4 linked regions of the Arabidopsis thaliana genome follow. The protein of the gene in region 4 purifies or fractionates together with the protein of the main gene of each other region. This does not show direct contact. Each region holds a gene or a part of one and is shown on either strand. Other genes may lie near its edges.

Evidence for each region.
Region 1: the proteins of GAUT7 (region 4) and QUA3 purify together in Arabidopsis thaliana (affinity purification with mass spectrometry, with the first as the bait; one study listed by BioGRID). This does not show direct contact.
Region 2: the proteins of GAUT7 (region 4) and GH9A1 purify together in Arabidopsis thaliana (affinity purification with mass spectrometry, with the first as the bait; one study listed by BioGRID). This does not show direct contact.
Region 3: the proteins of GAUT7 (region 4) and DL3 purify together in Arabidopsis thaliana (affinity purification with mass spectrometry, with the first as the bait; one study listed by BioGRID). This does not show direct contact.

Annotation. Positions count from the first base shown.
Region 1 is NC_003075.7:306,359-312,534, reverse strand, and holds QUA3 (S-adenosyl-L-methionine-dependent methyltransferases superfamily protein), read left to right. Parts: upstream 1-2,050; 5' UTR 2,051-2,236; coding exon 2,237-2,668; intron 2,669-2,830; coding exon 2,831-3,034; intron 3,035-3,110; coding exon 3,111-3,321; intron 3,322-3,414; coding exon 3,415-3,676; intron 3,677-3,785; coding exon 3,786-4,160; intron 4,161-4,311; coding exon 4,312-4,407; intron 4,408-4,497; coding exon 4,498-4,720; 3' UTR 4,721-5,666; downstream 5,667-6,176. UniProt on the Arabidopsis thaliana protein: S-adenosyl-L-methionine (SAM)-dependent methyltransferase (MTase) which mediates the methylesterification of the pectin homogalacturonan (HG) and thus regulates cell wall biosynthesis, at least in suspension-cultured cells.
Region 2 is NC_003076.8:20,196,719-20,202,336, forward strand, and holds GH9A1 (glycosyl hydrolase 9A1), read right to left. Parts: upstream 3,751-5,618; 5' UTR 3,451-3,750; coding exon 3,078-3,450; intron 3,000-3,077; coding exon 2,689-2,999; intron 2,616-2,688; coding exon 2,151-2,615; intron 2,035-2,150; coding exon 1,899-2,034; intron 1,798-1,898; coding exon 1,625-1,797; intron 1,455-1,624; coding exon 1,047-1,454; 3' UTR 673-1,046; downstream 1-672. Other genes in the region: AT5G49710 (RING finger protein), read left to right, coding at 181-289, 389-470; FRO6 (ferric reduction oxidase 6), read right to left, coding at 4,637-4,806, 5,009-5,456, 5,539-5,618. UniProt on the Arabidopsis thaliana protein: Required for cellulose microfibril formation. Involved in cell wall assembly during cell elongation and cell plate maturation in cytokinesis. Required for secondary cell wall formation in the developing xylem.
Region 3 is NC_003070.9:21,891,143-21,896,169, reverse strand, and holds the start of DL3 (dynamin-like 3), read right to left. Parts: upstream 3,029-5,027; 5' UTR 2,758-3,028; coding exon 2,617-2,757; intron 2,118-2,616; coding exon 2,067-2,117; intron 1,951-2,066; coding exon 1,830-1,950; intron 1,701-1,829; coding exon 1,608-1,700; intron 1,289-1,607; coding exon 1,227-1,288; intron 1,070-1,226; coding exon 952-1,069; intron 811-951; coding exon 474-810; intron 1-473. Other genes in the region: ZCW7, read left to right, coding at 4,260-4,773, 4,849-4,990. UniProt on the Arabidopsis thaliana protein: Putative microtubule-associated force-producing protein, able to bind and hydrolyze GTP. Collaboratively with DRP1A, participates in clathrin-coated vesicle formation during endocytosis.
Region 4 is NC_003071.7:16,160,635-16,167,630, forward strand, and holds GAUT7 (galacturonosyltransferase 7), read right to left. Parts: upstream 5,243-6,996; 5' UTR 4,890-5,242; coding exon 4,739-4,889; intron 4,647-4,738; coding exon 4,618-4,646; intron 4,538-4,617; coding exon 4,496-4,537; intron 4,406-4,495; coding exon 4,346-4,405; intron 3,586-4,345; coding exon 3,519-3,585; intron 3,420-3,518; coding exon 3,373-3,419; intron 3,279-3,372; coding exon 2,977-3,278; intron 2,557-2,976; coding exon 2,205-2,556; intron 2,110-2,204; coding exon 1,579-2,109; coding exon of another isoform or gene 1,552-1,578; exon of another isoform or gene 1,501-1,551; coding exon 1,222-1,500; 3' UTR 821-1,221; downstream 1-820. Other genes in the region: AT2G38646 (uncharacterized protein), read left to right, coding at 1-175; AT2G38660 (Amino acid dehydrogenase family protein), read left to right, coding at 5,758-5,929, 6,027-6,343, 6,700-6,936. UniProt on the Arabidopsis thaliana protein: May be involved in pectin biosynthesis.

The sequences.
Region 1 (6,176 bases), on a different chromosome or scaffold from region 4:
ACAAATATAACCAAAATATTATACAAAGAATAATTCTAAGTTAGGCCAAAAATTAAATCTTCTAATACAAAGGAAACATGTTTCTTACCAAAACAACTCGTATACAAATTTTACATTTACTTAAAAACTACATATGTTGTATTTATTATAAAAATAACATTTTTAAACAAAGTCAATCCAATGCAGCATTATATCCAAATAGTAAAAACATTAAAAAATATTATGACATCACTTTTATACTATACTATTTCTTATGTAATTCAAATAAAATATATAATTTAATTTATATAAAATATTAATGCCCGTGCTGTATAGCACGGGTTATGATCTAGTCTATATATTGTTCCACCTACATTGATTATTTAAGTATATTTATTTTATCGAAATTTGCTAATTTTCCATAAATCGATCTATTAATTTAACAATGTTATTTTGAAAAAATGGTCTTTGGTTATTATTGTATAGTTGGCACTGCTTTGGAAGTTAATCCATAATTATTAAGTACTATTAAATAGAAAATCTCTATTGAATTGTTCTATTTTTTTGGGTATCGTCATAAATTGATACCATTTAAAGAGATACTCTTAAAATAGAAATCTAAATTTACTTTGCAACTGATTAGTGATACTATGGGTCCATCCATGATGGTGATACTAAAGTATTTTGTTCAGATGATTACTATCCCAAGCGACGCTCCGGAGACGCGTAGCACGTGAATGGCTTCGACGGAATTTATTACAACGTTGTACAATATGGAATGTGGACTAGTGTTGTGTGTGTGAGTACTGTCTTATAAAAAGTGGAATTCAATTTCCAAAAAGATTGAAAGATATTTGCAGTTGCTATTATTATAGCCAACGCCACGGTTAACCTAATATGACAAAAATCAGAAAGACGCGTAAATTGATTATTTTATGTTTTCATATGTTTGAATAAGCTATCTTCCATGTAGAGAGAAAGAGAAATCTCTTTTTCACGAATTAAGAAAATGATACAAGTAAGATTCTTTACAAGAGATATAAGATCATGCATATCTGATTCTAGTAGTATCTATACACGATCTTAGAGGAATAGTATGAGAATATACTAGCATGAATTGGGATTTACTGCTTTAGATAGTATGAAGAGCTTGCATTTGGAGAATGTAACATTTATCTCTTTTTGTTGCTGTCTTTCACTAGACAAACCAAACAGGTCTATCTTTGAACATCAACACAGGAACGCATGAAGTTGCTAGAAGCGTTGTGGCTGATCTACGTACGTCTAACTTCCTATCATCCTATGTCACGCAAGGATATGAAGGGATCAATATTTGCCAAACAGAAATTTGATTACCATTTACCAATGTGAGCTTTCTTCTATTTTTTTCACTCGTTTGCTTTGGGCTTCGTATTGTTTCATCCAAATGTAATTAACCAAAAAATCTCGTATCTATTGTAATATAGGCCTCGGCAAATAAACCAAACTGAATCAAACCAAATCGAACCAAAATTGGAAATTAACCAAATGGATAATAAATTCTGTAACCGAAATAACTGAAACCGAATGGATACAAACAGAAATATAATATTTTGGGTAACCGATAATATCCGAAATATAAATATATTTTCAAAAGTATTAGTTATATCTAGAATAAATAATTAAAAATACTTGAGAATATATATAAAATAGTAAAAAACTCGAAAATAACAAAAATATCCGAAAATATCCAAAAATAATTGAAAGATCCGAAAATATTTAAAGCAAAATAACCGAATGGATACTACATTTTAAAACCGAAAGAACTGAAATCAAACCGAACCGAACCGAACTTTCAAACGAACGCCTATACTATAATGTAATCTGAATGTTCTATCTTGACCGTCAAAGGACGATCCACTGGTATATTATTTCTCATAAGCCAGCCCAAATTACATTTCAAGGCCCAAATCCATTAGCCTCAAAAAGTTAAAAAAACTATAATCAACGGAACATTCCATTTTTTTTTATAATATTCTTAAATCAATTTATGTATTCACCGTGCTTCGCCAGACACCAGAGACGCTTACTAAAGCACTGAGAAAAAACTAAATGAGATTTTGATCACACTCACACAACGGATTGCGAAATAGTAATATTTTATAATCGCCGACAAATTCTTCAGATCTCCAAAATTGAATCTTATTATAAACCCTAAGATTTGCATCTGATCTGCTCTCGAAGACGAAAGCTTCGAGTACTGGTTGAAGCTAAAGCTATGGGACACGTGAATCTACCTGCATCAAAGCGTGGTAACCCTCGTCAATGGCGTCTCCTCGACATCGTAACCGCTGCTTTCTTCGGTATCGTACTTCTCTTCTTCATCCTTTTATTCACTCCTCTTGGTGATTCCATGGCGGCTTCTGGTCGGCAAACGCTGCTTCTCTCTACGGCGTCAGATCCGAGGCAACGGCAGCGATTAGTGACTTTGGTTGAAGCTGGTCAGCATTTGCAACCGATCGAGTATTGTCCTGCGGAAGCTGTTGCTCATATGCCTTGTGAGGATCCGAGAAGGAATAGTCAGCTTAGTAGAGAGATGAATTTCTATAGGGAGAGACATTGTCCTTTGCCTGAGGAGACTCCGCTCTGTTTGATTCCTCCGCCTTCTGGTTATAAAATTCCTGTTCCGTGGCCTGAGAGTCTTCACAAGGTATATTGGATTCTAGCTCCTATTACCATGGTTTTGTAGATTATATAGTTCAGGATAGCTATTAGCTAGTTCGATTTATTGGTGATGTCTAGTTTTGCATGGTTAGAAACATGTCTCTTGGTGTTTGTTAGACTGTTAAAGATGGCTGTTTGAACTTTGTAGATTTGGCATGCAAACATGCCATATAACAAAATTGCTGACCGGAAAGGTCATCAAGGATGGATGAAAAGGGAAGGGGAATACTTTACTTTCCCAGGCGGTGGCACGATGTTTCCTGGCGGAGCTGGCCAATACATTGAAAAGCTTGCACAGTATATTCCGCTTAATGGTGGAACTTTGAGAACTGCTCTTGACATGGGATGCGGGGTGAGAATCATCATAAGTCTTTTTATTTCTCGTTTGGTTCTGTATTGTTATAATACTTAATTGTAAACCTTTGCAGGTAGCTAGTTTTGGAGGTACTCTACTATCTCAAGGCATTCTAGCCCTCTCATTTGCTCCAAGAGATTCACATAAATCTCAAATTCAGTTCGCTTTGGAAAGAGGAGTGCCTGCATTTGTTGCCATGCTTGGCACTCGTAGACTCCCCTTTCCTGCATACTCCTTTGACCTGATGCACTGTTCCCGATGTTTGATTCCTTTTACGGCTTACAGTGAGTCCCTTGGGTTATATACCTCTACTTATGTACGTGTGTTGCGGTTTTTAGCAGCAATTATTCTTATTGTGTTTGGTGATTTGTCTGCAGATGCAACTTACTTCATCGAAGTAGATAGGTTACTGCGCCCTGGAGGATATCTTGTAATCTCTGGCCCACCTGTACAATGGCCTAAACAAGACAAAGAATGGGCTGATCTTCAGGCGGTGGCTAGAGCTTTGTGCTATGAGCTAATTGCGGTTGATGGAAACACTGTCATCTGGAAGAAGCCTGTTGGAGATTCATGTCTACCTAGCCAGAATGAGTTTGGGCTTGAGTTGTGTGATGAGTCTGTTCCGCCAAGTGATGCATGGTGCGTTTTTCTTGTTGTATAATTATGTGCATGTGACTTTTGAACTGTATTGAAACCATGTAAAAGACAAAATTGAAGTTTTTGTTTTTGTTTTTTTTGCCTTTTTCAGGTATTTTAAATTGAAGAGGTGTGTTACCAGGCCATCATCCGTCAAAGGAGAACACGCTTTGGGAACTATATCCAAGTGGCCGGAGAGGCTTACTAAAGTTCCTTCTAGGGCCATTGTCATGAAAAACGGATTGGATGTGTTTGAAGCAGATGCAAGGCGGTGGGCAAGACGCGTTGCTTATTACAGGGATTCTCTTAACTTGAAGCTGAAATCTCCAACTGTCCGCAATGTCATGGACATGAACGCATTCTTCGGAGGCTTTGCAGCAACCCTTGCATCTGATCCTGTGTGGGTTATGAATGTCATTCCAGCTCGGAAGCCATTAACTCTTGACGTGATTTATGACAGAGGTCTCATCGGTGTTTACCATGATTGGTTAGTCACATTTGTTGTTTATATATTTGATCAAAATAAAGACTTAGATATGTTATCTCTCTTGTTCTGTATCTTAGCCATTGGCAGCAATGAGGATCGAAATATGTCACAATTCCTTAATAGTCAAAACCCTATTATTTGTTTGTTGCAGGTGTGAACCATTTTCAACATATCCCCGCACGTATGATTTCATCCATGTATCAGGAATTGAATCACTGATAAAACGACAAGACTCAAGCAAATCGAGGTATAACTAACGTAAAACCATTCTTGATTTCTAACACAGGTCTCTGTCTTATATACTTAACCTAAGCTGAATTGTCTGATATGCATACAGGTGTAGCCTAGTAGATCTAATGGTAGAGATGGACAGAATATTACGTCCAGAAGGAAAGGTTGTGATCCGAGACTCTCCTGAGGTGCTAGATAAAGTCGCACGAATGGCTCATGCTGTAAGATGGTCTTCTTCCATACACGAGAAAGAACCTGAATCCCATGGAAGAGAGAAGATTCTTATCGCAACCAAATCTCTCTGGAAATTGCCATCAAACTCCCACTGAAGACACAAAAGAAGAAGAAAAGAAGAAGCTCTTCTCAATCTTGTAGGTACTGTCACTTGCTCTCCAGCCCTCATCTGTCTGTCCCTAAGACACCAACCAGATGATATATACTTTTTTGTGTTCGTGACATTGCATCTGAATGTATTACAATCGTATAATGTCCTGATATTGTTAATTCTTGGTCACACGTGGTTGTGTCAGTGATTTATGTGAGGGGTCTACCTTTTAGAAGCAACTTGTGACCTACATGAGTAAAGTATGCATGTGACTCTGCGTATAGTTTTGTACTAGAGACCATGTATTAGTAGGTACACGTCCTGGATACGTATTTATGTATTGAAAAACTCCCAACTTACTGACAATTCCTATGATTCAATGTTTTAGTAAAAAAACAAGGTTGTGGTCTTATGGATTTTGGGTGAGAAACGGACACTATAGAAGACTTCTCTTTTTCAGTACTTGTTTTCAGGTGGGGGAAGACATATTTTGGTAAAAAACCTGAGAGAGAAAGAAGTCTCCAATTGGATTGGAAAAAACGTTGAGGACATTAATGCAACAAAGGTTTGGTCGTTCGTCCTCTTTTGAACCATATTTGTTGTCTCAATAAATGTTCTTATGCTTTATAACGTCCAAGACAATCTGATCGTTTTATTCATCTGTTTGAACATAACATCATCGACACACTAGAGGATTCAATTAGATGTGACTCTTGATGGAATTGTCTTTGTAGAAAAGTCTAGTCTTTGCTATGTTTCTAACGGTCTTTGGTTTGTTTCTCAATGTTCAATAATGTTATGTAATGGTAAATATTTAGCAGCGGTATAGTTCATTCTCTTGATATCGGTTTCAAATTTTTATTTGAGGTTGAAACCACATGAACATGGTCGATAGTCTGGTCTTTTTTGATGTTAACATTCATATAACAATTAGTTTAGATTGAGCTGTGGTAGAATTTTGAGCCAGTGCTGCTAATTGGAGTTTGTGGTAATCTAGTAATTACCAAATTTAACCAAACAATGAAAATGACGTTGTCCTTTATATCATCAATCAGGGGAATGGGAATGAATATTCCTCTTTACTTTTCAACCTTTTTTTATTCACCAAACTAATTTCTTCATGACTCTGTCATACCAATAAGAGAAGCCATACGACATTTTTTTTATTTTGTGGCAGACTCTTATGTGTAAATTATTTTGTGACCAACTCTTGCTGGTCGGTTATTCTGTGGAACCGACATTCCCATGTGCTCCAAACCGAACCAAACCAATATGTTCCACTACTTCCTTTCTTCTTCTTATGAAATTGTTTTCCATGATTTTGTTATTATTCAGTTCTTTTTAAGTGCGATGATCCATAAATTCGGTTCAATTAATTCTCACTTTATAAACACTCTAAATATCATCAACACTATATAACCTCAGTTTTTGTATGTCGTTTTAATTCTGTCATCAGCTTT
Region 2 (5,618 bases), on a different chromosome or scaffold from region 4:
AGAGTTTACCGGTTCCAATCTTAAAACTCAACTAGGAAGCTTGTTATTGCGCTGACACAAACAAAGACCATTAAGTCGCCAAGTTATTTTCTTTGATGTTGATTATGTGTGAAGTTGATCAGTGGTGGCATATCAGATTAGTAGTAAAACTGTAACATTAGTGTTTGAATTGTAATGTAGCACTTAGCAGGATGTTCTCAGTGAAGAATAGAAAGGGGAAACTTCGGAAAGCCTGGGATGGAAGTAAGGTTGCTTACAACGTAGCGTCATGGAGCGCAACTGTTATAGGGTATAATATCATCTAGTCATCTTCTACATTGCAAAATCTAATAGTCCCATTGTTTATCGTTCTCACCAAGCATTTTTATTTTGTTCATTTCACCGACAGGATCTATCAAAACCCCGTGATCCTGAGGGTTGCATCAAAGGCCTTTTGGGCGTCATGTCATGTAATATCGAAGCTCGTTTGATTGACGATGACGCCTTCTCGAACACATCTCGCCTGTGTACTGTGATAACAGTTTAATTTGGGTTTCTCCATGATCTCTGTGAATACAACTTCATCATGTATAAAGAATGCCATATGTAATTCCGTTCTTTACTGCAATATTCTTTCTGCATCATCGTTTATATCCATTAAATGAGTAAATGCATGCTAGAATCACGTATTTTAGTAGACTACAGTTGTTATTCCAGGTTGATCTCACACTTGCACAATAAAACATAGTTAAAAGTTTAATACAGTTCATTAAATTGTTTATCAAAGAATACAAGTTTGGTATCAAACATATACAGAGTAAAACGCATAGATATATATGATATCTCACAAGAACAAAACAGCAACCCAAAAAAAGAAAAGAAAGACAATGCTTGTGGTAAAGTAACCCACCCCGTGTTTGTATCTAGTAAAGCCAAATGAAATCCTTAGTAGTTTGGTTATGGCTGACTTGTGTTTAGCTTCTAATCTTCTGGTCTCACACCCAAATCCTTCTTACCTCATTCATTTTTTTTGGCAGCAGCGACAGAATCACACAAGTCTAGCTTTCTCAAGGTTTCCATGGTGCTGGTGGAGGTGGTGGAGTAGGGAACAAAGGAGGAACAGCTGAGAAAATAGTGTTTTTGTCTATCTTACCGGTGGCTTCTTCTTCACCCGATAATGCCACAAGAGCTGCGACTAGACCAGCATTGCCTGCAAGAGTCGGTTCAGTGTAGTTGTAGTTCATACGGACATCACGGTACCCGTCGCGCTTGTCAGGACCAGCAACCATGGCTCCTTCAATCGTGTTTGGGTTTGGTTTCTTGCTGTCTCTCCATTTCCATCCTCCTTTGCAGTTATACTTGACTTTGTTCTTGGGTATCGAAGCTCCTCTGTGATGCACATGTCTTGGGTATTTTGTGCCAAAACCAACGACATAACTCATTTTCCGAGGGTTTTTACCCAGTATATAATCAATCTGCCAAAATACAGCAAGGCCGAGTTAAATCCAATTTAGATGTCAAAATAAAAAATGGAGTTTAAAAAGATCTTCGTACAATCTTGGTTAAAAGTGTCATTTTTGGATCTTATCCATTACTATATCTGAGATTACCATTTCTGTAAAGAGTAAAGGAAAAGAAGCAATACCTGGGATCTAGCAAAGTCACGTAGCACACTTGTCGAATAGAAATTAGGTCCACAGTACCATCCAGGAGTATCAGCAGCATCCAGATAATCACTGTATAGAGTCGCTAAGAAAGCTGCATTTACAGAATATTGCAGCGGCTGTGGAGCTCCATGATTCAACTCTATTAAACCTCCTGCACATACCAAAGATTTCATTTTAGATATCTGAAACAAGAACAAGCCCCACAGTTGGAGTTTTATTAGAGGCAGACATTAAAGCTGGAAGGTAACTAACCATTGGTTCTGTTAAATTTGTTGAAAATAGGCAAGTATGAGCACATGACTATGCTGGTCTGATTGTGGAAGGTCCTTAGAATTTCTTCATATGGATATCCAGGACTCAGAAACAACCTCAACCGGCTCAACAGCAACTAAAATCGCAAAAGGGATTCAAAAGAGTCAAGAGTAGTATGGTTAAGGCAAATGATCAAGAAGACATGAATATCTAAGAAACATAAACACAGCAGGTTGTTATGTGTGGACTGACCTGAGCACCAGCAAGCTTGTTGTCCCAGCTAAATACACCATAGTAAGGGCCACCCCAGAAGGCACCAGCATGCTTGGCCATAGTAGGTTGGGTGATTAGATTGAGATACGTTACATTTCCGGTAGCATAATACATCCAAGCACCACCCCAAATGAACTCATCCCAATACATACTTGAATTATAGAACTTGCTAGATTCCGCAGTGCCTGCACTATATCTCCCTCTCCTCGTCCTTCCAAACTGATACACCACCTTAGCACCATGGACAAGCTTTTTAGAATATTCCTTGTTATCCTTGAATACAATAGATGCTGAAGCCAGAGCAGCTGCCATCTCTGCAGCGAGATCCGAACATCCACCATTACAAGTAGTCACGGGCCTTTTATAGTCCATATCCTCAGGTCGCATCCAACAGTAATGGTCATTAGGATCTGTATTTCCATCATCAGTATTCCCTGATCCAACCTACATTAAACATGTAACGAGTGAACAAACAACTCAATATGAAAGATCTCCTACGAAGGTCATAAACAAGTACCTGTGACACAAGATCATCAATGGAATCAGCAGTACTATTGAAAGTCTTGAGAAAGTAATCAGTTCCCCATTTGATAAGCTCCTTAACATGAGTGAGCTCACCAGCAGCTTCGTATTTAGCACTATATTCAATAACACTCCAGCTCAACATAGTCATAGCATAAGCCATGGGGAAATTGAACTTGATAGCATCACCAGCATCATAATAACCTCCCACCAAATCTTTATAGAAGCTTCCTGTTTCACCTTTCCCATCTTGAAGCCCAGAATTACCTCTCCATGACACGTTATTATGCTTTGGCAATTTCCCAGCTACAACAATCAAAATCAGACTTAGATCTAAAACTCTATATCTAAATTTTATCAGATCTAAGTAGATTCTACACTTACATTTCTGAGCATTGAAGAACTTAAGAGCTTTGTGTAGAGCTATAGTATAATTATCCGGCGGCGGAGTCTTAGGATGATGACGCGGCACAGTTTTAACGATCAAGGTAATGAATCCGGCGAGTAACGCGGCGGCAACAAGAGTACCAACAGTCCAGACGAAGATCTTGCGGCTAACGATAATACAACCGAGATCGACGTACTTCTTCTTCTTCTGCTCCGTTGGACCAAGTAACCAACTCTGCTGCGTCTCATCTAGTGGACGTGAAAGAGCCGCACGATCCAAATCGTTTAAATTCCGACTACGATCATCGTCGGTGGCGGAATCTGCAGTGTTTATCTCCAATGGACCTCCCCATGGATCTCTTCCGTACATGATGATGCTCTCTGATAAAGCAGCAGAGAACAACAACAATGAATCAAAGGTTTGGGATCAGATCTGGAGAAGAGAAGAGAAGAGAGAAAGAAGTAAAAGTGTGTGGAAGTGAAGAAATGTGAAGCTAAAAAGCTCTCTCTAGTCAATAATGTACAAAGACTCTTTGAGAGATCTGGTTTTGGTTTTTTACTCTTTTTTTTTTTTCCTTTTTAAAACTCACTTCAATTATTTTGTTATTATATGTTTTGTTTGGTTTATTTGTACATGTTACGTTACAGCTAACTCTAATTTTGGAATAGTATATTTTTGGCCAACTATGATTGAGCGTTTTGGCCAACTTGTAATCTTGTGTATTTATTTTTCATACAATTAAAATTTGTCGGAGACATTAAAATATTATTTTTTATGCACCGTTTTTTCTAACAAAAAATTGCATATACTTTGTTTACTAGTAAAGCAATGGGCTAATGTCGGGTGGATGGAAAAAGACATCTCCGCTAATAAACTGTCGGTGGGATGATAATTTTATTTTATCCTTTATGATTATGGTGTTTTACACGTCATCATTTCTGGTGGGCTCTAAGTAATGACATAATTTTTAAAAAAAAATTATAACAAGGAAGGTTACTTAAATTCTACTTCTACTTGAAAATGATAGTCTACCACAAAATTTCACTTACATTTGTTAAAATTTAAAACTTATAAGATAAGTGTGTCCGACAAATTGATGGTAGATCAATGACCTAAAAAAAAATTACATCTTGTGGTCATTTTTACGACTCTAATCCCTCACAGAGTAAGTAAGGAGAATTATGAGAATCTAACTTTTAATTTGAAATTAAATACATTCGTAATTATAGAATCTAATCCCTCATATATATATGAATATATCTCTACTTTAAAAAATTCCGAAAATATATGGGCAGCTATGTAATTATAGGACTTATCAGCTTGCATTTAATTAATATTAAATGTCCAATGTAGAAACACCAACAAGTGTAGAACTAGAAACCATAGATGCTCATACATTTGATTTCTACTTTATACATCGAAAACTGAAAGATAAACATACACATATCAACCATAGCTGTTTCCATAGTACATACTGACAGAGATTACCTAAAATATATGCATCAATTTGTCTTCGAATTTCCTTCCATAATGTTCTTTGGCCTTGAAAGCATCGTTAGAGATCGAAACTGTGGCTGTTGAAGTGGAAAAGAGGATGATTCGCCGATCGCCAGATGCTATGTGACCGTATTTCTTTGGCTACGGTCGTCTGAAGAGTCGCTGGACCGCATACTATCACTCCAACATCCACACTCCCCCATTTCCCATTCAATGACTCAAATATCTCTGCAATTACAAAATAAAAATATTACATGAACCAATCAAAGATTTAACTTAACCGAATCGAGCCAAATATCTACACCAAAAGTCGGATTCAAGAACCGAACGAAACCGTGTCAAACCGTTCCGAATGATTTCAGTTTCTATAATTTTATAAATAAAAAAACGAGATAACTGGACTTGACACCGCTAATTTTGTAGTGTATACCTCTAAAGGCCGGTCTGGTGCCATAACGAATAGTGGTGTAATTCTGGACATCTTCTTCTATTGCCAAGCCCTTAAGCTCTGCTGCAGATGGATTATGGGTTTCTTCTCCATTCAAATCTACCTTGTCGTTGCCATTTGCTTCCACTTCACCGGTTTTGTGTTCCCAGCGATGCCAGAAAACAACCACAAGACCTCCAAAAATCAAGACACTTGCAACCATACAACCAACAAATAGAAGTCCCTTGTACCACCACGTTGTTATGTTGTATCTTTTTATGTAAAAGATGTCCAACAATGTGATCATTGAAATAAATCCAATGGTGGATATAATTAGATAGAGTCCAGACCATATGTTATCCCCTGTACCAACTAGTACCGACATAGAACATCCGTTGGTCCGTGGTAGCTTGACAGAAGGATGCACCACCTTGTGAACCATCCCATCTTCCTGTATAACCATGAAACATTAAAGAGTTCAACAAGCTTAGTAAGGCCTATTGCAGCTCCCAAAAGACTTATTTAAGACGTACCAAGCGAGGCTCGGATTGTCGAGTGATATATATGTGAATCTCAAGGTTTAGTTTCTTAGAGAAGAAAGGGCAAATGGAAG
Region 3 (5,027 bases), on a different chromosome or scaffold from region 4:
TCCAATTTCAGATAACTATTTCCTCTTATGCAACTTTCCCTTTTGCTTTATCTTTGCCTTTTGGTTTATTCCAATTCACTAAACACCGTTCCTCTCCATTGCAAATTCAACATAGAGGTTTAATTTCTTGACTTTTAGGTAGATTATCATCTATTCAATCAGTTAAAGATATGAATCTTGTTTTCCTTTTCAGAAACTTAGCTTCGACCTGGTCCGTATATGTTGATTAGAAAGACACAAGGACAAAGGTTTCTAAAATATCTCATGAGAAGTGCGCTAATGATGATAGGAGCTGGAAAGTCTAGCTAACTAAGCCTAAAGGTCGACTTCAACTTCAAAGAAACAAAACAAATTGGCTTTGATGGAGAAAATTGTAAATCTTCCCTAAAGTACCAGTACAGAAAAATAGGCAAACAAACAATCGATTTTTCATTTGACATATAAAAGCAAAAACATATGGAGAGAGGAAATACCCAGTTAAGATGTTCGGAAGCCTGAGCTTCATTCTGCTACGGATCTGGCTAGCAAGAGTGTCGACCAGGGCAATTCTGCCAAGTTTGCTTTGTGGAGCACCAGTCAAAATGGATTTAAGGCTTTCACTCTCAGCACGCCAAGCAGTTTCTAAAGAGTTCTCACTGCCTCCAGACTGCGCTGATGCAATTGAGACAGATTGGCCAATAAGTGCAACCCATGGAATATCAGTTGTTTTTGGAGGTCCTTGATTTGAAAGAAGCGCCTGAACTGCTGCAAGGGACTTTGGGTTCTCTGCTGCCTGATCAATTTTGCTGATAATTCCTACTGTCCTAGTACCTATAAATAAGGAGTGATGTTTTTTTTTTTGGTTATAGTATACACAAAATTTAGTTCCAATGTTTCTATCCAAATGTAGTAACCCCAGTTGTTTAGAAGTATAATGAAGGGTCTGTATAACGAAAGTGCCTATATACTCACTCTCTGGATCATACTCCTTTGCGATCTTCAGGGCTCGAGATGACGAAATTTCAGATGCCTGGCTAGCAGGCACAACAACCAGCAATATAGCATCGTTGTGCTGTGCATGTTCACCAATCTTGCAAAGAGAGGAGAGAAACAAATTATAAGATGACAATGATAATGAATCTATGAAGCCCTACAGCCAGAATGCCGAATAAAAAATGTGGAAATTCTCCATGGTTGACAGGTGGATTAGGGGGATGACAAAGGCATCAAGCAGTTCCTAAGCTTACCATAGAATCGTCCACAATTCGCTGGTCCAGTCCAGGCAAATCAATCAATTTCAGTGGTGGAGCTGCAATTAAAAGGGAAAAATATGTTATGATGATTACAGAAACCAGTACAAAACAAACGATATGTGATAATTCATGTTCCAAAGAGAACATTTAAGTTAGATCTTCATTTAGATATATAGTCCAATTTTCACAACTTAGCTTCAGATTCTACCCAAAAGAAGTTGAAGCGCTAATGTGCGTTAGATTTAGAGGTAAAAACTCATTACAGCTGAACTGTTCACTTAAGTAGGGGACATTATCCGACTTAGGCTTGGGTAATATGGATGTTGCATTAAATAGGGATTCCCATTTATGATTGTGCAAGTAGAAAGGAATTACCTGTGCTGGTACGAAGTTTTAGGTATATTTCATCACGACCCCTTCCTGAAGCTCCTTTGCTAAGCCTATCTTGTAGTGAATGCCTTAGTGCACCTGTAATACACACATTCGAAAAAAACGGAAATATTAGTCAAATATTAATCTAATGCATTGCATCTTACATGCAGAAATAGCTTCACAAATCATTGCTAAATTGCATATGTGCACATAGGGAGCTCTTACTTGCAGAAACTTGTTGATTTTTATTGTCAATTTGCAAGATTATTGCCTTGCTGCTCAGTGATTCTTCTCTACTCAAATCAATGATAATAGGAGCCCGTGTCGCACCATTCTCACCCGTCGGCTATCCATGGTAATCATAGTAGACAGGACAACACAAAGTGGTTACTTTAAGAAAATGTATCAGCCAATAGTGACATACACAAATTGCCGCGCACTCAAATTCAATACACAACTTACCAGAACTGGATGCCCAATTAGGCTATTTAGAACTGCAGACTTTCCAGCTCCCTGATCCACCAAGAAAAGTGAAATAACTTCAGTCTTCACATAAGAAATTTTTCTTTTCTAAGCCTAAGAAGTTTCAATCACAAACACATAGCAATATTTTTTCTGTCTTCCAACAGATAAGTGTTTTAGGAAACAGAGTAAATCACATACACTTTTCGTTCTGATATACACTTTCTAAAATAGATTTCTCATAGTTTCAAATAACAAACGCATCAACCTTCTCTACTATAGTAATACCTCCCAGGTTTGAATCTCATAGAATCAAATAATCCCTAATAAAGAGAGAAACGCAACAAAACAAGCTACGAACGAAGAGATGAAGAATACAAAACATCCTACCAAACTCCTAGGTTACGGGACCATTTCGAAAACACCTCATCGAGATCCACAAGATCCACGATATGGCAACAAAAATCTACACTCGATCACAGTATAAAACTTACAACAAACGCCAAATACAGTCACATCTCAGAAACAGAAAAAGCGAGAGAAAACCCACCACATTCCCTAGGGCAACGACGTTGAGAGAAGTAGCTGGCCGTCTAGAAGAAGAGGTCTCATCGGGATCTTCGTCAGCGAGCAGAGACGCCGCTTGTCTCATCGAATCCGAAAGCTGAGACAACTCATCGATCGCCTCCATCGTAACTTGCACAGCGAATCGAGGTCGAATGAAGTACGAGATCTGGACGAAGAAAGGGAGCCGCTAGATCCGATTAGAATCAATATCGGTAGCCACGAGCGGTGGATTTTCCCGGCGATTGGGTTACCGGAATTTCGAATTCGGTCGCGACGGTGCTAAGCTAGGATTTGTTTGTCTGTGTGTGTCTTCGTCGGGGAGAGAATGGGCAAGACGGGTCATATAACTTTACATAAACACGTAGTAATTAACACATTTTTCAAATTTCATAAATGTTGAAAATTATTAAGTGGTTTTTTCTTTTCTTTCATAAATGTTGAAAATTTTCACAACTGTTCAAAGAAATTCTTTACAAATGTGAAAGCATAAAACACACAAATGTGGATGCGTAAAATATAAATTAACACAACTTTTTGCTATCAATAAAGACATTCTCAGCTAAATTTGTTCGAATTAAAATATTGTAAGTGAATTTCAATGTGGTACAAGAATTTGTATCATCGAATGCGCTTGTTTGGTTGTATATTTTTCCAAATGAACAAATGCGGAAGACCACTTTGTAATCCTGATGTAGGAGACTAGTATTTTTGTAATGTTTGAGTGCGAAATGTTGAGTTGTGATCAACCGAGTTCTAAATTTATCTCCAACAGTTTAATCTCTCTAATTTGTTTCGCTAGATGGGATAAGGCATGTAAGTTATCAAATTCGTTAGCATGCTAGGTTTGCAAGTATATCACCAAATTTTGGTATTGGTCTAACTGTTTGTATATAAATTTGTGTATACCGTATTCATAAATTGCTTGTATAAATTTGTGCATACAAGTATATCACTAAATTCTAATTAAAGTAAAAGCTCAAAAAAATTATCTTAAAATCATACGCGGATAGATAGTACCAAAAGTGTATGTAAGAGTGTCATCATCATATGCATTTTTTGTTTTTGTATGAAAGATATCATCTCAATATTTCGTAAACTATATCCAAAAACAAGCCTCTATGATATGCATTAGAGTTCATTTGTGCAACTAATGGTTCATGCCATCTAACCCCACAATAGAGACCTAGCGAATTGCAATGTTTCGCTAGAGGTATGAACAGTAATCCAACCATACTCAATTTATATGGACGCATTGCTAAGGTCAACAGAAGAGCACAAACCACCAAAACTCACAGTAGGATGCAATGCTTCAGTCCTAGTATGCCAAAACTCATAACTAAGATAAGAATCCTTACCATATATATTTAGGCATTGGATGAAACGTTCAACATTTATTAATGGTTTCAGTCAATGTTCAAAAAATTTACATTGGAATTTATCTCTATTTTGGACCGTTTATGCAATTTATTCCCAAAATATTGGAAACCAAGAGAACCGGAAATAACCGATTTGGAATTCTGGTTTACCACTGTTTTCAGTATCCTCCTGTTCTCTGTACTCAATAGCCGACGACACTCTGAGAGAGAGAGCCAATCGCGATTTTGAATTTTGCATCGACGGCGAAAAATGCGATCGTTAGAAGAGCTATCTCCGATAGAAACTCTAGATATCGAAGAGAACGGTCTCGCTCTCGTCTCACGCGTCAAGCTCAATCTCACAATCCACCCAGTAGTCCCATCCGTATCCAAATCCATCGACGAATGGCAACTCAAGCGATCCTTAATAGATTACCTCAAAAACTCTGTCGTAACCTCCGTCACAGTTCCGGAGGAAGACATCGTAGTTCGTCGTCACAAGGACTTGAAGAAACGGAAGCGTGAGGAGCCAGTTGCTCATGGATCGTTGTTTATACGCGATTTAGGGTTTCTCGATGGGAAGAAGAAGAAGAAGGAGAATGATGGAGAGAGAGATGTGAAGGAATTGGAGAAGAAGTTTTTGGATTGGAGGAAGAGTTTGGTGGAGAAGATGAATGGTATTGAGCTTAATTTGGAAGGAGTTAAGTATAAGCTTAGTGTGGTACTTCCGATTTCAGATGATTTCGAGAAGTTGAAGAAGGATTGGGAGGAGTTTTACGCTTTTGGTAATCTTGGTTCTTCAATTTTGGATTTTGATTTTACGATTTTTTCGTGGTAATTGATGTGATTGTGATTTGCAGGACATTCAAGGGAAGGAAGGAGAGAGGCTGATACGATTATACTTAGAGGTGTGCCATCAAGATGGTTTGCTGAGCCACGAGTTTCATCGAAGCCTTCTATGTTGGTTACACATACAATCTTCTCTAGCTTTGGGAAAATTAGGTAAGATTTTGTCATCTTTCATGTCCAGCTTGATTAG
Region 4 (6,996 bases):
TCTTGTTAATTATATGTCTAACCATGATTGTGATTGGGATTTGTTTTGGTCTGTATCGTCATCATCCGACGACGATGAAAGTATGTTTGTATATGGTCATATGGACGTGTATGCGGTGGTTATAAAATGGTCAAGGTTAACTGTCTTTATCTCCCTCCTAATCCTTACCACTTAGTCAAGCTTTATGCTAAGATGGGACTTCATCGTTACAATTTTGCTTGAGGTCTCTTTCTTCTTTCTTTATACCACATGCATGCTCTTTACTTATATGTATTATCTCTATACGGATATAACATTATACCTACACTGCACTTTATTTACATAGTAATCAATGTCTTTCTTGATTTGTACGTTACCTCAATTAGGGGAAAAACTATCAGCTCAAAATTAAAGTACAAGGACTGTAAAGGTTGCGATGGATCCATTTACCTCTGTGCTTTAAACTATTGAGACCATAGTTGTCGACAAAGTTATTTGGTGCGTTTGGATTTGTGAAGTGTGGATTGGTTTTTGTGCAGCTTGTGTTTTTTTTATAACAATGTTTCTGCTTGAATCATTTAACATGTGCAAGGATGCGAAACTTTCTTTACTATTTAGTGTAGCTTCCTGCTGTAATGTTGCTACAGACACATTGTATGGTCAAAGTTTCTTTACTATTTACTATTTAGTTTCGCATGAGCAAGGATGCGAAACTTTAACCTACCGAGGAAAGGGCCTCCTCCGCTATTGCAACAGACACACTGTCTGAGAGAAATCCTTCATAAGACCTGATTGTTTTTGCTTTCTGAGAAGAAGCTTCAACACCATGGATAAATGTACTGTGCAAACTAGTTAATAAGAAATAGATTAAAAAAAATCTTATCGCCTTCTATTTTGGTACGTCACAAAAGTAAAGAATAACAAAGAAACTACATGACAAATTGGAAAAACAACGCGAGGAAAAGAATGGCACATCTCTTTGCCAAAAATCATATACAACATATCAAAGTTCTTTCACATCCTCTTTTTTTTTTTTTTAATCATATCAAAGCTTTTCAAATCACCATCATCACGTCTCTTATAATCAATTTGGTATGGCTTCTGCATGCTTCTTCCCCTTCAGCATTTCTCCTGCAATGCATTCGGGTTTATTTACCCAAAAAATTGAGATGTTGCACTCTAAATCTTTTCTTTGCGTGTGACCTTGCTTCTAAAAGCATTGGCCGTGTAGCTACTTACTCATCAAGGATTCACGTTACAGTCACTCAAGAACCGATCTTCCCGACTCAGATGCCTTCTCCAATAGTTTTTGTAATTTGGGATTCCCAGCTCAAGCCACGGCTTCATGTTCCCGTTATAGTGCAATATGGCTGCGTTTTTTATGGCTTGTGCATTGATGTAGTAGTCATAACCAAGCCCTGATAGAGCCCATTTGTCGTCAAGAGCATATACTTGGTCTTGAAATGTGAGCAAGCTTGCCTGCAATGCAATTGCTTCGCTCGACTCATCTCCACTACTCATCTGCTGCACATGAAAAAAGGAAGTCATTGCTCAGAATCACCCAATTATCTCTTACAAAAGGTTTTTCAGGAAACTGACCTCTTTATAATATTTTTGATAGGTTTCTGAAACACCCAATGCCCTCCATCTAGCAAGATCAACGACATTCAAACCAGACATCCAGAGACAAGCATTGGTATCAAAATTTCCTCTCTTGAGACTCCTTAGCTGACCCAATCTCACAGTGCACGACTTAACAGCGCCATTCACTTTCCCTTCCATATCAAGGTCCCAAAGGGGAGATAAGTCTCGCTGGACTACAACGTCATCATCCAGAATCACAACCTTCTCCAATTTGTCAAATAATTTGGGAAGAAGATAGTGAGATTGAGAGAAAAGGGATAAGTAGTGTGTTCTATTCTGTTGAGACGCCAAAAGGTCACCACTGGGGAAGGAAACACGGAACTCCGCAGACAAAGACAGTTTCATATCAGAATCGTCCAGCTCGAGTTTTTCAATGTTCAATACTTGAACAGTTGATTGTTTGCAAGGATTCCTAATAAACCATTGTTTCATTGCAAAGTAATTCTGCTCGTCTGTCAGTACATGGAAAACAAAGTTTTTACTGTCCTGAAACATCAATAACCAACCAAGAATTAGAAATCAGAGTTCTATGACTGCATGAAAAAAAATACTAAGTAAAGAAAACTGGATTTAAGACGCACCCTTGCATGTACAACCGTTGAGTTGATCACAACGGACGATGCTAGTATATTATCGGAGATGATAACAAAGTGAAGTAATGAGGGATCTGAAAATTTCTCACTAATGGGATCCTCAAGTGAATCTGACTTGAAATGTTCCACAGTTAGTCGCATTGACAAGCAATGAAGACTCTTAGGCATTGTCTGTACTGCAAGCTGGTAGAGGAACACACTCTGTTTCATGTGGAAACTAGCTTCATCCTCAGTCAAATCAAGGATCTGTCTCAATTTCTTGTCAACATTGTTACAGTCGACTGGAAAAGACTTTGCCTTTGCAATTACAGCTTCCATCTTCTGCAACTTTTTATCAACCCTGACACAACAGTGTTAAGAGATACCCAGTAAGTACGTTTAAAGAAATTAGCATAGGATTCTACACATCAAAGCTTCTCTTGAGAGAGAACAAACAACATCCATGGCGTCCTCCTATCATCTAGTACATTAGTTTACTAAATTATACATTGGTTTAAGATATTGAGACCGATAAGGCTTCAAAATAGTGATATTTCTGGATGTGCTGCCCACTGGATAGGTGAAGAGAGAATGTTATGATAAATATTTTCTATACCATAAACCATCTGAAAGCAAGTAAACCACTAGAAAACAGGATGTCCAGACAAACTGAAGGCAAACTAGGAGAGATTCATGTGACTAGAATCCAACAAAATCTTTTCCAGTAAGGAACTAACTTTCAGTACAAAAATGATTAAACCCAAACTGGTAGAGAACTTACTGTGGTGGAAGGTCAGCATCTTGAGAACTTTCACTAAGAATACGCTCAAACTCTTGGATATTCTGTTTCATATCCCGAGTCAACTTGCTTTGAGAAGGCATTTTAGCAATACTGGGATAGTATGCTCTAGCCACAAACAGCTGGTCCTTCATTTGCTTCACCTTGGCATCTTTCATTGGTTCCTTATTTTCCTCCCTCCAGAGGCAGTAGCTCCCATATTTCACTTCACAAGTTCTCCAAGTTTCATCACCACTTACTATTTTCCTCTGAACACCTGTATATGAGGCTTCCGATTTTGTTTTCTGTTCACAGAAGAAAGCAGAGTAAGGTTAACGTTAAATGATTGGTGAGAGATATAAAGATGTCTACTAAGGAAACCACTTAATATATTTGTACATTTGCAGGGCTTGGATTGGCAACAACAGTTGGGGACACTGGTAATCCTGCAGATTAATGGAGAGACCAGACGTAAAGTATCAGACCAGAATCAATATAAAATAATGGAAGAGGAATTTCAAGAAAGTGAAGCTTGTAAAGCAGACCTCTTTTTTTAGAATCAGTGCCGCTTGTTGCATTCACATCTCTGGAACCCACGTTTATGTCGCTTTTCTAGCATGTGATACAATAAAACAAAACATAAGTATAGAAATTGTTACAAACAGTTTAACCATCTCACCCAAGGAACTAATTCTTGACCTTGCCCAAGACAATTTGAGATACATTAAGCAACATAATTCATGAAAGTATTTCAACTTTCTAGTCTCATGAGATAGTCAAATATAAAAAAAATAAAGAGATCATTCATCTAATTTCTCTACCCTTTAAGCAACATCACACAAAATATACGGCAACTGATTAACTACAACCTTTTGACCTATAGTTTGTTTGTAGTGCCAGTAAAGTTTCCAGATTCACTGGCTAATATTAGCATTGGCATCTTGCATAGCTTTCCATGAAACGAAAAGGCATCTAAGTTTTTTCTAATGTTAGCATTGACATCTTGCAAGAATACTGTGGCAAACCTGATACAAAGCCTATACATTTACAAATAGCCCTATTATCTGTAATCAAACTACAAAGCCTATATATTTTACACCACTTGAAAGACAAGATGTGAAACATTAATGCCAATAATTATGACAGAAACATACTTCAATAGTTGAAAATTAAACATATATAGACCAGATCTGAAATGTGTGTGTCAATTAGAGAGCAGTGTGTAAGATAATGAAGTGCTTCCAACCACCATAAATGCTTTGACTCTATGGGTACATGAAAAGATCTAAAATTTCTGTCAAAAACTACTAATCTATAACATAAATGGAACAGGTCAAGGCCTTTAATCCACACTGAAACAAGTGGAACCAACCTTGGGAAGAACTGGATTGATTTTTTGAAGAACCTCATCGACCCGTTCGGATACATCTCTCTGCAAAACCAAAGAAAGAATATCAAAAGCAGCAAAAAGATTTTGGTATAAAAAATGAGAATCGAATCAATCAAAGGAGAGTGACATTACCTGTGTATGCTTAGTAGCATTGATTCTGGTAAAGCTCTCAAACTGATTCCAAAAGAAAGAAGATTCAGAACAAAATCAAAACACACCAAAACAAACACACAAAGAAACGAGAAATTGCTTACTGAAGAAGCCGGTTGAACAGTGACAAATCCTGAAAAAGTGAAAAAGATGAGATTAGATCTGAAACAGAGATCGGCAGAAAAAAAGCAAAGAGAGTGTTAGAGAGAGAATGATAAGAGATACCAGGAGAGTGAAAGCCATTGTGAAGACCGAGTAAGAAAGCAAGAGGAACAAGCATAGAAAGAATAACAAGAACCAAAACTCCAATCACCAGAACTTTCCACCGGCGTTTTCCTCCGCCACCACCTCCTCCACCACCGCCTCCGCCTTTCATATTCCCGATTTAGAATTGAATGAAATGTCTTTCCCAATTACGAACGCATTGGATCCCCAAAACGTTGCCAACGATCTCTCTATCAATGTCTCTCTCTGTTCTCGATACACTCAAATCATACTCTCGTCGAATTCTCTGTGTGTGTGTTGTGTTGCAGAATGCACAAGTATAAGTGTTTCTGCACTTAGCCCGATCGCATCGTCTCTTTCCCCTTTGCTTTTTGCTACTTGGAGGAAGAGAGAGAGAGATACACACACATACACACATACACACACACACACACACCTCTTTTTTTTTCACACGTGTGGCTATGTCTCCGCCGTTTATTATTTAACCCACTTGCAAGATCTATCTCCAGATCATAACACGTGTCTTTTCTCACACGGTGGTGAATTCTTTTTACTTTTTTTGTTAATCATCATCGTTTTATATTGTCACTCGTTGAATCCTAAACTCCGGTATGCCTAGCGATATTTTTCAACGCCATTGACGACGCTTTATATACCACTGGTAAATCTCTCCTCTGTTTTTTCCTATTTTCCGATTTCTTCTTTGTTAAGAATTCTATGTATGATGAATTTAGCTGAGTGAAGAAGATGAATTTTAGCTGAGTGAAAGCTTATGATAGTCTGGTGAAATCTTTAATCCATTTAGGTTCAATCTGGTGCAAGTTTGTTTTTACTGTATTATGCGCCTCTTTATTTGTTTGTGTGGATGTAATGAAGAGTATGGAGCTAAAAGGATCAAATTATGGTTTTATTCTAGCTTAGGCTGACCTGTCTAAGGTTCTCTTGTCTGGTCTGTACTTTTACATTGACTTTTTTCTTGTGCTTGATTTGAATCAGTGACTGTTCTTTTAGTTTTGAGTATGTTAATGATCGCGAGGAAAGCTTTGGCCTCGGCGCATACTAAGGCGTTTCGTTTGGCAACAAGGGATGTACATTGCTTTAGTTCCATCTTAGTGTCTCCTCCTCTCGTGTCACTTGACTTGCCTGAAAATTGGATTCCTTACTCTGATCCTCCACCTCCTGTTTCCTTTGGTAATACTCTTTGTTGCATTTTCATGGCTATATATATATGTTACAAGAAAATTCTCTAATTGTATGAGTTGATTTCTGTGTGTATGCATTTATACAGAGACTGAACAGAAGACTGTGGTGATAGATGGTAATGTTATCGCTGAGGAAATCAGAACAAAGATTATTAGTGAAGTGGGGAAGATGAAAAAGGCTGTTGGAAAAGTCCCTGGTCTTGCTGTTGTTTTGGTTGGTGAACAAAGAGACTCGCAAACTTATGTTCGCAACAAAATTAAAGCTTGTGAAGAAACTGGCATTAAATCTGTTTTGGCTGAATTACCAGAGGATTGTACTGAAGGACAGATTATCAGTGTATTGAGAAAATTCAATGAAGACACGTCTATTCACGGAATTCTTGTGCAACTTCCTTTACCCCAAGTATGTTTCTCATTTTTTTCTTTGGACGTTGTGATGGGGGATGTTAGTGTTGTTGATGTCAAAGATTAGTTCTATGTTAGGAGGTCAAGTAGTTACGTTTACTTTGTTTTCATACTTGTATGTAGAAATTCTTGATTCATATATTTTCATCGACCATGGACTCATGCATAACATTTTCCCCTTTAAGGTTTCCTTTTCGTTGGTAGGTAAAGCATTTAATTTACAGGTTATGCGATAGAGCATCTTACTTGTGGAGCTCTTTTTCAGGAGAACGTTCTTGTATTTTGTTGGTTTCCTTTCCTTTTTTTTTTTTTTTCTCATGAGTCCAATCATTTAATGGAAGATATCTTGTACAGCATCTTAATGAATCAAAAATCTTGAATATGGTGAGATTGGAGAAAGATGTTGATGGGTTTCATCCATTAAACGTGGGGAATCTTGCAATGAGAGGGAGGGAACCGCTGTTTGTATCTTGCACTCCTAAGGGCTGTGTGGAGTTGTTGATAAGAACGGGTGTTGAAATAGCAGGAAAAAATGCTGTGGTCATAGGCAGAAGCAACATCGTTGGACTACCAATGTCTTTATTATTGCAGGTATTAGTTCTTCTTTATAGTTCAAGTGGATTCTTATGCTTAAACATTTTGGTTTGGGAA